Linked DNA regions of Danio rerio. The protein of the gene in region 4 interacts with the protein of the main gene of each other region in a biochemical or structural test. Links are inferred from orthologs where the notes say so. Each region holds a gene or a part of one and is shown on either strand. Other genes may lie near its edges. The genes, in order: fchsd2, caskin1, cntnap2a and caska.

Region 1 (4,291 bases), on a different chromosome or scaffold from region 4:
ATTTATTAATAATCATAATACTAATAATGTCATATACAGTACAGATACTTAATAAATAATCTACTATAAGGTTAAAGCATTAACGTTTGCTTTGTTTTTTGTTTTCACAAGCTTTGGAAACGTAACATAAATTCCACTTTTAAGTAATGGGTCACCTACAGCTTTCGTCATGAGGCTGTGTTCAAAATGACATCAATGTTCTCAATGTGCACTGCGAAGGGAGCGCAAATGTAAACATGAAGATCGCTAAAACTGAAAAATGTCAGAATGTTCTAAATGAATAGGTCATAGGGGGGATAAGAAGAAATAGCACACAGCCAGGAACTGTCTCTAACTACAGCTCCAGAGGTGTAGTTGCAAGCATACAAGTTTGTGACGCAGTTTACGAATGTTCGTTGGAACACGGATTTGGGAAATGCCAAATCAACAAGCTATGTTTGAAACGATGTAATTCGTGACCTTAGTTGGCTAACAATGGTTTTGGGAAACGCACCCCAGTTGGGTTAAATATTTGGTGATTTGTTGGGTTATTTTTAAGCTGCATTTGGTTATTTATTTAATAACTCAAAAAATTCAAATTAATTTAAAAATTTTAATTTCAACAGTCAACTGATTTAACTGACACAGAACAGCTGTATTAATATACAAACGCACGTTTCATAGTCAATTTATTCATTCGTTCATTTTTTTCCCCGCCTCAGTCCCTTTATTAATCTGGGGTCGCCACAGCGGAATGGACCGCCAACTTATCCAGCTCTTATCCAGCCCTTCCAGCCGCAACCCATCTCTGGGAAACATCCACACACACTCATTCACACACATACATACACTATTTAGCCACCCCAATTCACCTGTACCACAAGTCTTTGGACTGTGGGGGTAAACCGGAGTACCCGCAGGAAACCCACGCAAACGCAGGGAGACCATGTAAACTCCACACAGAAACGTCGAGGCTCGAAACAGCAACCTTCTTGCTGTGAGGCGACAGCACTACCTACTGTGCCCCTGCGTCGCCTAGTCAATTTATTATATGGATTAAAAGAGTCTACCTCCTGTGTTCATCTGTACTGTGTTATTAAATAAATAACAAAGTAAAGGTTTAAAAATAACCCAACAAAGCACCAAATATTGAACTCAACTAGATGAGTTATTAATAAATAATCTAAAAAAGGTTAAAAAATAACCCAACAAACACCAAATGTGTTTAACTCAACTATTGGGTTAAATAAATAACTAACTATTTTTTTGGGTGGAAAGATACACATATTTGGGATATTTGGCAGTCATCCTTACCTTTTAGAACCCAGCGGAGACATTTATTTATTTACACAGCCATAATTATAAAATTAATTAATAGTAGTACTCCTATAGTAATACCAGAATGGAAAAAATAACAATTAACCCATAATTGGGAAGGGAAGGAGCTATAATAACATATAATAACTATATATATATATATATATATATATATATATATATATATATATATATATATATATATATATGGGGTATTCTAAACCCAACTATTTTAATAGAGTACAGGTGAGACATTATTATTATTATTACTCCGAGATGGAGGAAACACTCACAGCAGCAGCATTTGCGTCAGAGCAAAACACAACAGCACAAATTCCAGACATTTATAGTGGGAAGGCTTGGAGACAGACACTGTTGTGTTAAAATAGGGATCAGATATATGATGCAAAAGAGACACTACATGACATCTTTGTACATCCTCTAGTATTTAACCTCTGATCTATACACTATAGCATATTGTATGTTTATCAATGAAATAAAAGCATCAGCAGTGTGTCAAAACGAGTATTGCATGCATCTCTACGTAATATTATCAAATATAGCAGGGAAATAGCAGGGTTTATTTAGGGGGAAACCTGTGCTACATGCTATCAGCCTTCCTGCTCTTCACTAGACAAAGCAATTGCAAAAAAGTAAGACGTCACCTTTAAGGATTTCACACTCTGATGCAATGCTTTGAGGATTAAAATACCAAAATGTGCGCGGAATGATTAGAATATGATGAGTGTGTGTGTTTTTGTGTGTGTGGTAATTTCACATTCCTCCATACAGCCGCCTGTGGGACATGAGTTTGAAACCCAACACCCCTGCTGTCACCTCTGAGAGAAAGACAGGAACACATCTTTCCCTAGGATATATGATTTTATCATCAACGTACTTGACATATGCACACATTAAATCGAGATCTGCAACACAATGTCAGACTTTAAGGTTATAATGACGAGCATCGATCCGTTAATTTGACAAAAGCATGGTGACTGGGTTTAATCTGAGAGGAAAACACACACACACACACACACAACACACAAGACGACTCTCGTAGCTGCATGGTTTAACCGTTATCTGAGAGCAAATCAGGCTAAAAACACACTCTAGTGTAAACCAGGCGGATTTCAGCATCGCAAACGGAGCTTTGAAAACAACAATAAAACACAACTGCTCGAGAAAAGTCCTGATGCATTGTTTCCGCTGCAAAATACAAACCCGCACATTGTTTCAAAACAAACCGCGGCTTTGACACAAAGTTGCAACGACATAACAATGTACATTCTTATAAGAAATACACACATTGTTACAAAACGACGATTTTCTTACCTTTCTTGGCGGAGGCTGCATGTTTGAACATTGGCACAAATGAAGTAAAATCCCAAAGAAATGATTCCCAGCGCGATCGGGGTGGATGACTGAGAAAACGGGGATCACACTGGCGTTCGGCTCTGGATTCAGACGGCCATGATGAAGCAGGTCCAGTCAGGCAGACGCTCAACAAACACTGCGGATCAGGGGAGAAAGTAATAAAAGAGAGAATATGCCTCCAAAGAACAGCCTCGAAGCGTGAAATCCAGTCCAACAGCGCCGCGGAACGGACAAGCGTAACCCCGCTGCACGATATCTACTACGACGAGGGTTTAGCTCATTAATATTAATTACGTAACGGGACGTTCGCTCACTGTGCTTTCCTGATTGGCTAAAGCGCGTGCGCTTGTAACGGTCAGATGGTTATTTGAATATTAAGAAGATAAGATGATTGGACAGTTCGAGAATGCGCCAACGTTGATGGAAGAGCTATTAATATTCATGATCTACGCCTTGGCCGTAGTAAAGTTATTCATCCAAATAATGAAAACAAATTAAATTAGGATTTATTCTGACAAGAGTTGCAAATTTAATTAGAGACTCTAAAATATATACTAAAAATATTAAATTACAGTGACATGGTGGCTCGGTGGTCACCTCACAGCAAGAAGGTCGCTGGTTTGAGTCCCAGCTGGGTTATTTCTGTGTGGAGTTTGCATGTTCTCCCCGTGTTGGCGTGGGTTTCCTCTGCTTGCCCCACAGTACAAACACATGCGCTATAGGGGAATTGATAAACTAAATTGGATGTAGTGTATGAGTGTGTGTGAATGAGTGTGTATGGATGCTTCCCAGTACTGGGTTGCAGCTGCAAGGGCATCTGCTTTGTAAAACATATGCTGGATAAGTTGGTGGTTCATTCCGCTGTAGTGACCCTTAATGAATAAAGGGACTAAGCCAAAAAAGAAAATGAATGAATGAATCTTAAATTATTAGACTCTTTTAAAAAGGCTGTGTTGTTTCAACCTAGGACTTAAATATTGACAAAAACAATTCTGGGTTAATTTTTAAGCTAAATTAATAGACCAAATTTAAGCCAGTTTTTGGGTTTGTTCATATTTCACCCATATTTGGATTGGAATAACCAAGTATTTGAATGAAAAAAAAAACTAATAGTCAAGAAATTCATTCATTCGTTTTCTTTTCGGCTTAGTCCCTTCATTAATCAGGGGTCACCACAGCAGAAATAAGTCATTTAAACGGATTTAATATACATATAAGTCAATAATATACACAGAAGGTATATTAAATAATGGTGAAATGTCTGTTTTAATGTTTCAAATGACTTAGAAAAGCACAGTAATGGGTTTAATTTTTCAAATTCAATTCATCTTTATTTCTATAGCGCTTTTACAATGTAGATTGTGTCAAAGCAGCTTCACATAGAAGTTCTAGTAAATTGAAGCAGTGTCAGTCCAGTTTTCAGTGTTAAAGTTCACCTCAGTGTGCTTTAATTTTTACTGCTGTGAGCCCTAACACTGAAAAGCAAATCCATCAATTTGAAGCTCCACAAGTCCCAAACCAAGCAAGCCAGTTGCGACAGTGGTGAGGAACAAACTTTACTGATTGACAAAAATCGAAGGAAAAAACACCTTGAGAGAAACCAAGCTCAGTTAGGAAC
Region 2 (3,571 bases), on a different chromosome or scaffold from region 4:
GTAAGGCATGATGTGAAGCAGACACACGTATGAAAACAGTGGGCGGGGAGAAGCAGCTTGTTTGGATTTTGGTGGAATGAACCGCCAACTTATCCAGCATATGTTTTACGCAGTGGATGCCCTTCCAGCTGCAACCCATCACTGGGAAAGCTACAAAAAACAGCTCCAATGTATTCAGACACCAAAATGGGTGGATTTTGGAGACTATGATAAATAATCTGATAGGTATTTTGAACTGAAACTTGAGCTGAGACACCAAAGGCTGCCATCTTACATCTTGTAAAAGGGGTAAAATAGGTGCCCTTTAAACTATGAATAAGTCAGTTCTACACAATGTTTAAGTCATGTTTTTTCTTAAAATGGCAAAACAAACCTGCACTTGGGCCTGATAATCAATCAAGAATCTCTAAAAAGAGAGTTCAGCCAAAATGGAAAATGTTGTCATTGTTTAGTCACCCTTAAATGGCTTCAAACCTATATGACTTTTTCACTGTGGAACATACAAGAAGATTTTGATGATCCAAAAAATGGATAAAGATGCTTTTTTGACCCTTCAACGCCAGCAATTCTATTTTATTTATTTGTGAAAAATTTACACTGAACCTTTACTTGGTTTTTTTTTTTGTCCTCATTTAGTTAGTGACTTTAAATTAAAGCACTTGCTAAGCAAATTAATATAATAGCTAAATAAAGTCAAAGAAAGTCAGGGGTCAACAGCTTTAAATTGTATGGACCAGTGTAAACAGTAAAAAAATAACTTGGGGGTGAATAAATGATGAAAAATGAAAAGAATTTTGAGTGAACTGTCTCTTTAACGATATAATCTGTAAAACAGTAGGTCTCTTTTCAGTGATTGGAGACCACTGCCATAAAAATGGCGTTGTGTTTATTTGTATATAAACAAATTAACGTACACTTGTGTGTACACTTGTGATGTTTTGGAGACCCCAATGAACTATGCTCCTGTAATGCACTGCAACTCCTTTTGTTGTTATATATATATATATATTTACATATATAATCATATATTCCTGTATATATTATATATGTTTTACCTATGTGTATGTGTAAATCAAGGCATATATATATGTATATAAAGTACATGTTTCTGCTTAAATATTTCATGTACCTCTGTATATATCAATGTTCATATATATTTGTGTTAGATATACAGTATATATATGCGTGCTTGCCTTGTGTGGGTGTTTGAAAGAGAAAGTGGTTAGAGCGCATAGACATAGTTTAGCTTTCCTCTTGCTTGACCTCTCCAGAACACCTATGATCCCGGGCAGGCGGCGAAGCCAGGGCACAGTTAATGATGGTTTCTGTGTTAAAGGTTCTCGTGGCTCAGAGTCCAGTCCACATGGCTCACCCACCCCAGCTGGTGGACCCCAGGGTGGAAGTAGCGAGGAGATCTGGGTGCTGCGCAAGCCTGTGGCAGGTAACAGCAGGGCTGCCCCTTCCTCCACTTCCCTCTCATAACTCTCCCTGCTTTGCCACGCTCTTGGTGCAGCTGCTGTCGCCTGACCTCAGACCTCCTCAGCTGCAGGCGTGTAGGCGCGCATTGAGAGACTCTCATCCGCTCTGTTAAAGTAACATCCATGGAGTCGTTCCTTCAAGAACACACATCCAGACAATCAACAGATGTGTGTAGACGGCATTTTCAATAAAGCCAGTGTAGACCTGTGTGTGTTTGTAGTAGTGAGTAAGCTAACATGTCTCGTGTTCATTGGTCACCTTGTCTGTGGTCATCATTGTCATGTACGTTTCTGTCATCCCGCGTATCAGATCAGTGCATTGCAGAGGGGAAGTTCATAGTGGTGTGTTTAAAGGGTTCGGGGCAGAGATGTCCAAAGGGGCTGACTGTGTGTGTGTTTGTTGGGGGTTTGTTGTTCCAGGTGGAGACCGCAGTAGTGTGGGCAGTTCAGGCAGTGTGGCCAGTGCCCGATCCTCTGGCAGTGGACAGAGCGCAGGCAGCACCAGTATCCTCCATGCTCAAGCAGAGGGAGTCAAGGTGAGCAATCTGATATGAAATATTTTTGTAGTATTCAAGTATCTAATACAAGTTTAGTTGTATTTGCCAGTCATCTCCAAGCCCCAGCCAGCCCGAGATGGCTCCAGCACATTTTATTCTAGTTCATATAAAATAGTTTGTCAAATCATTCATTTATTCGTTTTTAACTAAGTTTTAACTTTTCCGAGGCTGGGTCATGGGGGCAGCAGTCTTAGCAGAAAACCCCAGACTTCCTTCTCCCCAGTCACTTCCTCCAGCTTTTCTGGGTCTTCCACAAGGCCTCCTTCTTGTGGAACATGCCTGGAACACCTCCCTAGATAGGTGTCCAGGAGGCATCCAAAACAGATGCCCAAGCCACCTCAGCTGACTTCTCTCGATGTGGAGGAGCAGCAACTCTACTCTACTCTAAGCTCCTCCTGGGTGACAGAGCTCCTCACTCTATCCATAAGGGTACGCCCTGCCACCCTGTAAAGGAAACTCATTTCGGCCGCTTGTATCCGAGATCTTGTCCTTTCGGTCATGACCCAAAGCTCATGACCATAGGTGAGAGTAGGAACGTAGATTGACCGTTAAATCGAGAGCTTTGCCATTCGGCTCAGCTCCTTCTTTACCACAACGGACCGGTACATCAACCGCATTACTGCTGCTAATGCACCATCTCATGTTCCATCCTACCCTTACTCGTAAACAAAACCCCAAGATACTTGAAATCCTCCACCTGGGATAAGGACTTTCCTCCAACCTGGAGATGACAAACCACCTTTTTCCAGTGGAGCACCATGGCCTCGGACTTGGAGGTGCTGATACTCATCCCAGCCACGTCACACTCGGCAGCAAACCGCCTCAGTGCGCGATGTCAATGTCAGTGTCAATTTTATTTATATAGCACTAATAAACACAACCAGAGGTTGACCAATGTGCTTCACAATACACATTACAACAAAAAAATATATAAAAACAGACAATTTTCATTGATAAAATGCCAAATCAAAGAGGTAAGTTTTTAACCTAGATTTAAAAACAGACAGAGGTGATATACAACTAACACAGAGGGACAAAGCATTCCAGAATCTAGGACCAGCTACTGCGAAAGCACTGTCACCCCTGCTTTTCAGCCTTAACTTGGGTATACACAATAATCTCTGGTTTGAGACTAGGCTGATGCTCAATCAACATGTCTGACAGATAGGAAAGTGCCAGGCCATTTAGAGATTTAAAAACCAAGAAAAGAATTTTAAAAATGACTTGATAGTGAACAGTGCAAAGGTAAAAAGCCTTGCAGCAGCATTTTGAACTAACTGTAAATGGAATAAGGTTGTGACTAATCCCAATGCATAGTGAGTTACAATAGTCCAATCTAGTGGTTATAAAAGCATGGATTTTTTTAAACATTTTTTCTAGATAGAACCGTTTTAACTGTTCGATTTAAGAGTCAAAGCTGAAAAAAGCAGGATATAACCACTGCATTTATCTGTTTGTCAAAGCTCATAATCCAGAATAACACCTAGATTTTCTACCCAAGGCTTCATAGAAACACTTGATTTCAAGATTAGCTAT
Region 3 (3,571 bases), on a different chromosome or scaffold from region 4:
TGATCTCAACTGCCTGATAGATATAAAATATAAAGGGAAGACTGGAGACAAAGCACTGCATTAAATTCCATTTTCCAGTGCCATGTCTTTAAGATATGACAGTTTATTATATCCTAGTATTTTTAATGAAGTTTCTGTTCTCACCTTCTGATCCTGATGGCACTGAAGTTTAAACGGTGTTTCATCTCATTTTAAACTTAAACCACTAAACGAATGCTTAAGTCTATTTAACTGAATGTATTGTAATTACAATACAACATCGATGCTGTAAAAGGAACCTTATGAAAATAGTCACATTAAGCTTTCATCGTAAGTTTAGCATTGGCTGAAAAACACTAGCTGTGCATACAGCCTATCGTCTAGTTAACATAATAAAAACCTAAGTAAGGGATAGTTCACTCAAAAATATAATTATTGTTTAGTTCTTGTTAATTACTGTTCATCCTCAAGTGGATTTAAACCTGTTTGACTTTTTTTTTCTTTTTGTGGAACACAAAAACGTATGAAAAATGTTAAAAACCTGTAAACATTGATTTCCAAAGTAGAAAAAAAAAAATACTTTGGAAGCCAATGCTTACAGGTTTCTAGCACTTTTCCAGTATATTTTTTGAGTTTCTCATTTCTGTTGAACACAATCTTTTGAATCTTTGAGAACAGAGAAAATCAAACAGACTTTGAATGAGTAGAGGATGTGTAAATGGTGACAGAATATTCAGTTTTTGGGTGAACTATTCATTTAGGCCTTTAAATAGTGCTTTAAACTTAGACTTAGACTAAAACTTTGCAAACTAGAAAAACACCTCACAGTGTCTCTGTTAAACAGCACCTGAGAAATATTGGAAAAATACAAATTTCAATACAAAGATACAACGTTATCTATACACTACCTGACAAAAATCTTGTCATCGATCCCAGTTAAGAGAAACAAATAATAACTTGACTTCTAGTTGATCATTTAAAAAAGGAGGAGAAGGTAGATTTTTCAGATGAACTATATGTTGAACTGCATCCCAATCATCACAAATACTGCAGAAGACCTATTGGAAGCCACAAGAACCCAAGAATCTGAGAAAAATCAGTCAAGTTTGGTAAAGGAAAAATGCATGGTTTGGGGTTACATTCAGAATGGGGGCCTGCGAGAGATCTGCAGAGTGGATGGCAACATCAACAGCCTGAGGTGTCAAGACATTTGTGCTGCCCATTACATTAAGAACCACAGAAGAGGGCAAAATCTTCAGCAGGATAGCACTTCTACTCGTACTTCAGCCTCCACATACAAGTTCCAGAAAGCAAAGAAAGTCAAGGTGCTCCAGCATTGGTCAGCCCATTCACCAGACATGAACATTATTAAGCATTCTGGGATAAGATGAAGGAGACATTGAAAATGAATCCAAAGAGTCTTGATAAACTCTGGGAGGCCTGCAAGAATGCTTTTCTTTGCCATTCCAGATGACTTTATTAACAAGTCATTTGAGTCATCGCAGAGATGAATGAATGCAGTTGTTTTTGTTGTTCACAAAACTTGTGCGACAAGACTTTTATCAGGTAGTGTATAGATAGATGGATATATCTCATGTCACTTCATTTTCAAGTCCTGAAATTACATTGCGTAAAGGACTATCTGATGTTACCTAACTTCACACATTTTAGTTTACAAATAATTTTCAATGGTAAAAGTGGCTTAAGATCATTCAGTTGTATTGTGTATGAAACTCAGCAGAAACAAGCGTTCATTGATTGATAATTATAACAATCTGTCCTGTAATTTTATGTTGTAGATAATATAAAAGATTGTTCCTTTTTTTAAGACCTCTGGTTTTCATTTCAGCTGAAAACTGCAGCAAACTGTCCTGTAGCAAAAAAGATTTAGGAGTTTTGCCAAAGTTTTGGTAGAGGCACGTTTACAAATAAACCTGGGAAGAAGAATCTACAAGGAAGCAAACATTCAAACGCTCTCACACAGTCTCTCAGTACCTGGAGTGTTGAGTAGACGTGACATTCGGCAGGCGTAGGAGACGTGCTGCTCGCAGTGCTCAGCGCTGTTGGTTATTGCTGTGACCTGCTCCATAGACGCACTGTAGTTCAGCTGTAAAACTGTCCGTCTCTCCCGGCTGGAGCCAGTTACTGCTGTCTGTGCCGGTAGGTTATTCACCACTGTCGTCCAAACCTTGTCCTCTGAAACACAGAAAAAATAATGATAATTAAATTGGATACTGACTAATAAAAGACACCACAATATAACGTTAGCATTTGCTCATATTTAGAAAGACGAAAAATTATTATTTTATGCAACACAGATCTTAAAAGATGAGTATATTAATGACTCAAACCTTTTTGTATCACTGTCAAGAAGTATTTCTACAATAGTTTACATGAATCATAAATGTCCATAAAGACAATAAAGTGCTTACTAAACACCATTAAAAAAGTCTGGAAGAAAGAATCTGAAACCTGAATCTAGAATTGTTTGAATGATTAATACAATTTAAAATACCTTATATATTATATTTCTGTGATGGCAAAGCTGATTTTTCCTCCAGAAATCTTCACTATGCTAATTTGATGCTCAAAATCTTTATTCTGCTATTATAAATTTTAAGAAAGGTGTGTTGTTAAATATCTTCATGGAAACCTTGTTTTTTGTCCCTCAGGATTCTCTGATGAAAGATAAAAAGCTGTTTTTACTTGAAATATATAATGTAATTATTGTCATAATTTAAAACATTCATGCTGAAATACATATAAGTATTTTTTAAATCGTACTGACACCAAATGATCCAAAATGTAATCAAGAATTGTTCAGAGCAAGCAATTATTTAAAAAAAATATATATTTAAATGCTTAATATTTAATTAACTTAAATTTCAAAGGCAAACACTTTCACCTAACTAAAAGTGCAAAGAGCACACTTGAGTGAATATGTTTCCAAATGTTTTAATTATATTTTTTTAAACAAAAGTTAATTCTTTTTAGCTGACATATGTAATCAAGGAAAAATTTTCTTATTAAAGTTACACCTTAGAAAAAATGTACTGATCATGAAGTGTCAAATGGATTTTTATTCCAAATATTCCTCAAGCTTTTTTAAGTTTTATTAATTTGAACTTCAAACAAACGGACAAATTTTCTTTCTTAAGATAAATGTTCATCTTGTTTTTATATTTCAGTCTAAATTATCCTGCAACCTTAATCTTTCCTTCCCACCTCAAAACAAGACTTACCCTTTCTAAAAGCTGTAGACATTTCTAAAATTGACAGACACATTCTTTTCAGCATGATTTTTTGCTCTACCGTGTCCGCTCAGGGATTTCCTCTGCTCTGAGATGACTGCAGTTCCTGTCCTCAAACGATAACATTTTATGTCCTGGCGTTCCTACATGTTCCATTAAGTTGAACTTATTTATTTTTGGATCAGTGGGATGACGTAAACCAAGATTGCAATATTGCAGAAAAAAAAGTCTAGGGAGGTGTTAGTGTGTTTTTAGTGTGTTTAAAAAACCTTACTCAGATGTTAGAGAATAGAGAAGTCCTTGAAAGCATTCATTCATTCATTCATTCATTCATTCATTCA
Region 4 (3,538 bases):
AGACTGTTTTTATGCTTAAAATCGCAAGAAATTAAAATACCTATTATATATATATATATATATATATATATATATATATATATATATATATATATATATATATATATATTATATTTGTATATTTGTGTGTGTGTGTGTGTGTGTGTATATATATATATATATATATATATATATATATATATATATATAATATTTGTATATTTGTATTTGTGTATATATATATATATATATATATATATATATATATATATATATATATATATATAATATTTGTATATTTGTATTTGTGTATATATATATATATATATATATATAGAGAGAGAGAGAGAGAGAGATTAGTCAGCACTGAAGCCAAATCTGAAGCTTATCTAACAAAATAACATACGATAATGGTCCAAAAACGAGTACACACAAATTTATATGTTATGGAAAATATTAAATAAGAATTTAAAAAAGAGAAGCAAAAAAGAGAAAGTAAAAAATTTAGTTGAAATTTAGTTGGTTTTAATTATTTTACAATATTAAGCTTGAATTTAATTGTATTTTCTTTTAATATTTAAATATGTTTGGTGACTAAAATACTATTTGATTAAATAGATCCGTTTAATCAATCTGTTTTGTTTAAACGCACCAAAACACATTGCCTATATTCAGTGAGAAATGGATACAAATATATATTTTCCAAATGGGCTGTACTCAATTAAGCTGAGCACTGTATTTAAAAATACTTCAGACGTCCAGAATCAATGGTCAAGAAAAAAAGAAAAAACACTCTGCGTCGCTCTCAGACACATAACTGGGCATTGATCTCGACTGCAGTCACACAGAATCAAGCTGGCAGGGCGTGACCCGCCACAGCTGCTGGGAAAAAATCCGGAAAAACAAAAAGGCCAAAGAGGAACGAAAAATTTCCATTGGCCCCATCTCTGCCAACTCACACCGAGAGCTAGGCTGAGCAAAAGAGCTGGATGAGAAAACAGCAGAGGACACCACATCTTCACCACATAAAAGGAAATATATATTTAAAAAAGAAAAGAAAAGGGAAAAAGACACACTCATACCGAAGAGCTGCTCTGTCATCAATAGAGCCGTTTTCACAGGGCAGTTTGAGGAAACAGTTTTATCATATACAGAACCATTGAGATGAACAGACCGCGGCCTCATTCTGCTGCACAGAATAAAAATCTGATTTCGTTTTTAACAGTAATACTCTCAAACAACACACTTCTGAAATGCCAGTATTCATTTTCAACCCAAAGCCCATAAATCTTACAACAAATAAAAATTTAGACCATTTACAAACACATTTTACTACATAATTGGTAAAAATAAACTGTTTACAAAGTTGCCAAAATGCAAGGGATGTGCATAGGTCTTTTTTTTCCCTCCTGGTCACCGGCTCCACCTGTTTGAATGTGTTCGTCCCGCCGAATGGAATGTTTTCTGCTGTGGGTGACAGTCTGGACACAGCTAACACTGAACGCTCGTGAATGTTCACATGCATGAGATCTCATTCAAATCTCGAAAACATTTATGCACGTCTTTAGAGAGACAGTATCCACGTGTAGAGGAGGGCGGATTGGGAAAAGTAGAAAGAAAAAAAGTGTGTTTAAAATGAAAGCTGAATCGGTGGGTTGTGCTAAAGCTAAAGCAGCTGGGGTCTGCCGCATGGATAATGTGGGATTATGTATTATGGCTGAGTTAATGGACGGGCTGGACAGATGAAAGCTACGAGGATTCTGTCGGAGAAATATTATGACCAGAAAAACGAGCAGAACCACAGGAAAGGAAGTCAAGTAGGATACTGTCTCTTTAAATCCAACGTCAACAAAATGTTGCCTCCTAGCTATATAGACATGACAATATTTAGTAATTTATTTTATTGATCTTTTTTTTCATTAATACAACACTACGTCTAGGTAGTCTGTGAGGGGCCAAGACTGGGCTCACTGCAGGTACATCGATGTTGCTGAATGTCAGAGGTGGGCTTCTGTTTGCATCATGGGAAACTTTTCAAGTTTTGTTTTGTTTTCTTGCAGAGACGCACTGTTTAGTGTGAGGTTATGAAGGGCGTAAGGTTACAGGTTGATGGGCTTGCTGTTTTAGTAGACCCAGGACACCGGAACCCACTGGGCGGTGCTGCAAACCATGTCTATGGCTTCCTCCAGGAGGCGGATGGTCTCGTCAATTTCATTATTGATGATGGTTTGGTCAAAGTAATGTGCATATGTCTTCTGGAGGATCTCAGACTCCTTCTGCAGCCTCTGTAGCGACTCATCCTACAGCGCAAAAGAAAAAGAGTGAGTATAAGAGCCAAAAATGGGCCTTTTAGGACATTCGGGATAGAAAGCGGGTAAAATCGGACCCTGTGGCCATTTAAAGGGGTTATATGTTTGAATGTATTAATAACTAGGATGTCTTTGAAATCCTGCACACTGATTTTTATGTGAAGGACATTTTTGGAAGAAAAAGTAAAGCTTGTGACACTCTCCCCTGTTCTATGATATGGAAGTGAATGTTTTTTTTAATATAGTTACTTATTTTTGTTGCACAATATATTTCTCGTTGCTTACCACCAGAGTCAAATAGACTTAGGTTTTGCATAATTTTAGAAAGCATAAGTTTTGCTACGGTTACGCCTTCTGTCCACACTAGCCTGGAGTTTTCAAGCCCTGAAAATCTAGCATTTTGGAAACGCTGAAAAGGCTATTCTGATTTTAAAACGCTGCTGCTTTGTGTCAGTGTGGATGGGGGAAAATGGAGACATCTGAAAACGGAGTCGTTGTTGCAGACATTCGCCTATCTGATTGGGCCTTTTTCTCAATATTATGTACACAAAGTTCAGTCTTGCATCCTTTCCTTTTATGTTTAGACTTCACAAGTTTGATATGGAAAACAAACTCCCAAGGACACATCAGGTAAATCTTCAAATGGAACGATATACTTTATAACTTCATTCACATCACCCTGGTTACGTTGTTTAAGAATAAAATAAAAACATGATATAAGGAGCTGCCTATTTTCATTTTGATTATAGCTACATATTTATATGACCGTCATCTTCACTGTATGCATAATTATAACAAAACAGAGCCTATAACATAACTGCATCCGTTAATTTTCATTGAAAAATATGAAACCCACCCTGTCTCCTTTGCTGAATATCAGTTTTAATAATCAATAATGGCTAATATAAAAGTATAACATCTAATAAGTTTATAAAATGTTGTAAATATAGGCAAGCAATCAGTCAAATAGGCCAAAGCAGAGTACGTGGTTACATAAATTGATATATTAACTTGTTCTCAGGTAAAGTGTTTTGGCTAAGCACAAGTAATAGATTTAAAAGACAGAAGAGTCTTTAGATAAAGACAAGATTAATTAGATATCACGTTTAACAAATATAGTGGGAACATAGACAGTGAAAGATATGGACGTAGTATCCGTGACGTCACCCACAGGTTTATGAAGAACCCAAAGAGAGCTACCAGTAGGCGTGGCCAACCGTCGCCATTTTGTTCGCAATTCATCGCACCAA

The links.
Region 1: the proteins of caska (region 4) and fchsd2 form a complex in vitro, tested with the Homo sapiens proteins (2 studies listed by BioGRID and IntAct, with this or other methods). The link is inferred for Danio rerio from reciprocal best matches to the Homo sapiens genes CASK and FCHSD2.
Region 2: the proteins of caska (region 4) and caskin1 interact in a biophysical measurement, tested with the Homo sapiens proteins (2 studies listed by IntAct, with this or other methods). The link is inferred for Danio rerio from reciprocal best matches to the Homo sapiens genes CASK and CASKIN1.
Region 3: the proteins of caska (region 4) and cntnap2a form a complex in vitro, tested with the Homo sapiens proteins (2 studies listed by BioGRID and IntAct, with this or other methods). The link is inferred for Danio rerio from reciprocal best matches to the Homo sapiens genes CASK and CNTNAP2.

What each region holds. Positions count from the first base shown.
Region 1 is NC_133193.1:4,556,500-4,560,790, forward strand, and holds the start of fchsd2 (F-BAR and double SH3 domains protein 2), read right to left. Parts: upstream 2,812-4,291; 5' UTR 2,653-2,811; coding exon 2,632-2,652; intron 1-2,631. UniProt on the Homo sapiens protein: Adapter protein that plays a role in endocytosis via clathrin-coated pits. Contributes to the internalization of cell surface receptors, such as integrin ITGB1 and transferrin receptor.
Region 2 is NC_133178.1:34,509,732-34,513,302, reverse strand, and holds part of caskin1 (caskin-1), read left to right. Parts: intron 1-1,336; coding exon 1,337-1,441; intron 1,442-1,898; coding exon 1,899-2,014; intron 2,015-3,571.
Region 3 is NC_133199.1:21,600,987-21,604,557, forward strand, and holds part of cntnap2a (contactin-associated protein-like 2a precursor), read right to left. Parts: intron 2,176-3,571; coding exon 1,975-2,175; intron 1-1,974. UniProt on the Homo sapiens protein: Required for gap junction formation. Required, with CNTNAP1, for radial and longitudinal organization of myelinated axons.
Region 4 is NC_133184.1:35,054,891-35,058,428, forward strand, and holds the end of caska (peripheral plasma membrane protein CASK), read right to left. Parts: intron 2,280-3,538; coding exon 2,103-2,279; 3' UTR 528-2,102; downstream 1-527. UniProt on the Homo sapiens protein: Multidomain scaffolding Mg(2+)-independent protein kinase that catalyzes the phosphotransfer from ATP to proteins such as NRXN1, and plays a role in synaptic transmembrane protein anchoring and ion channel trafficking.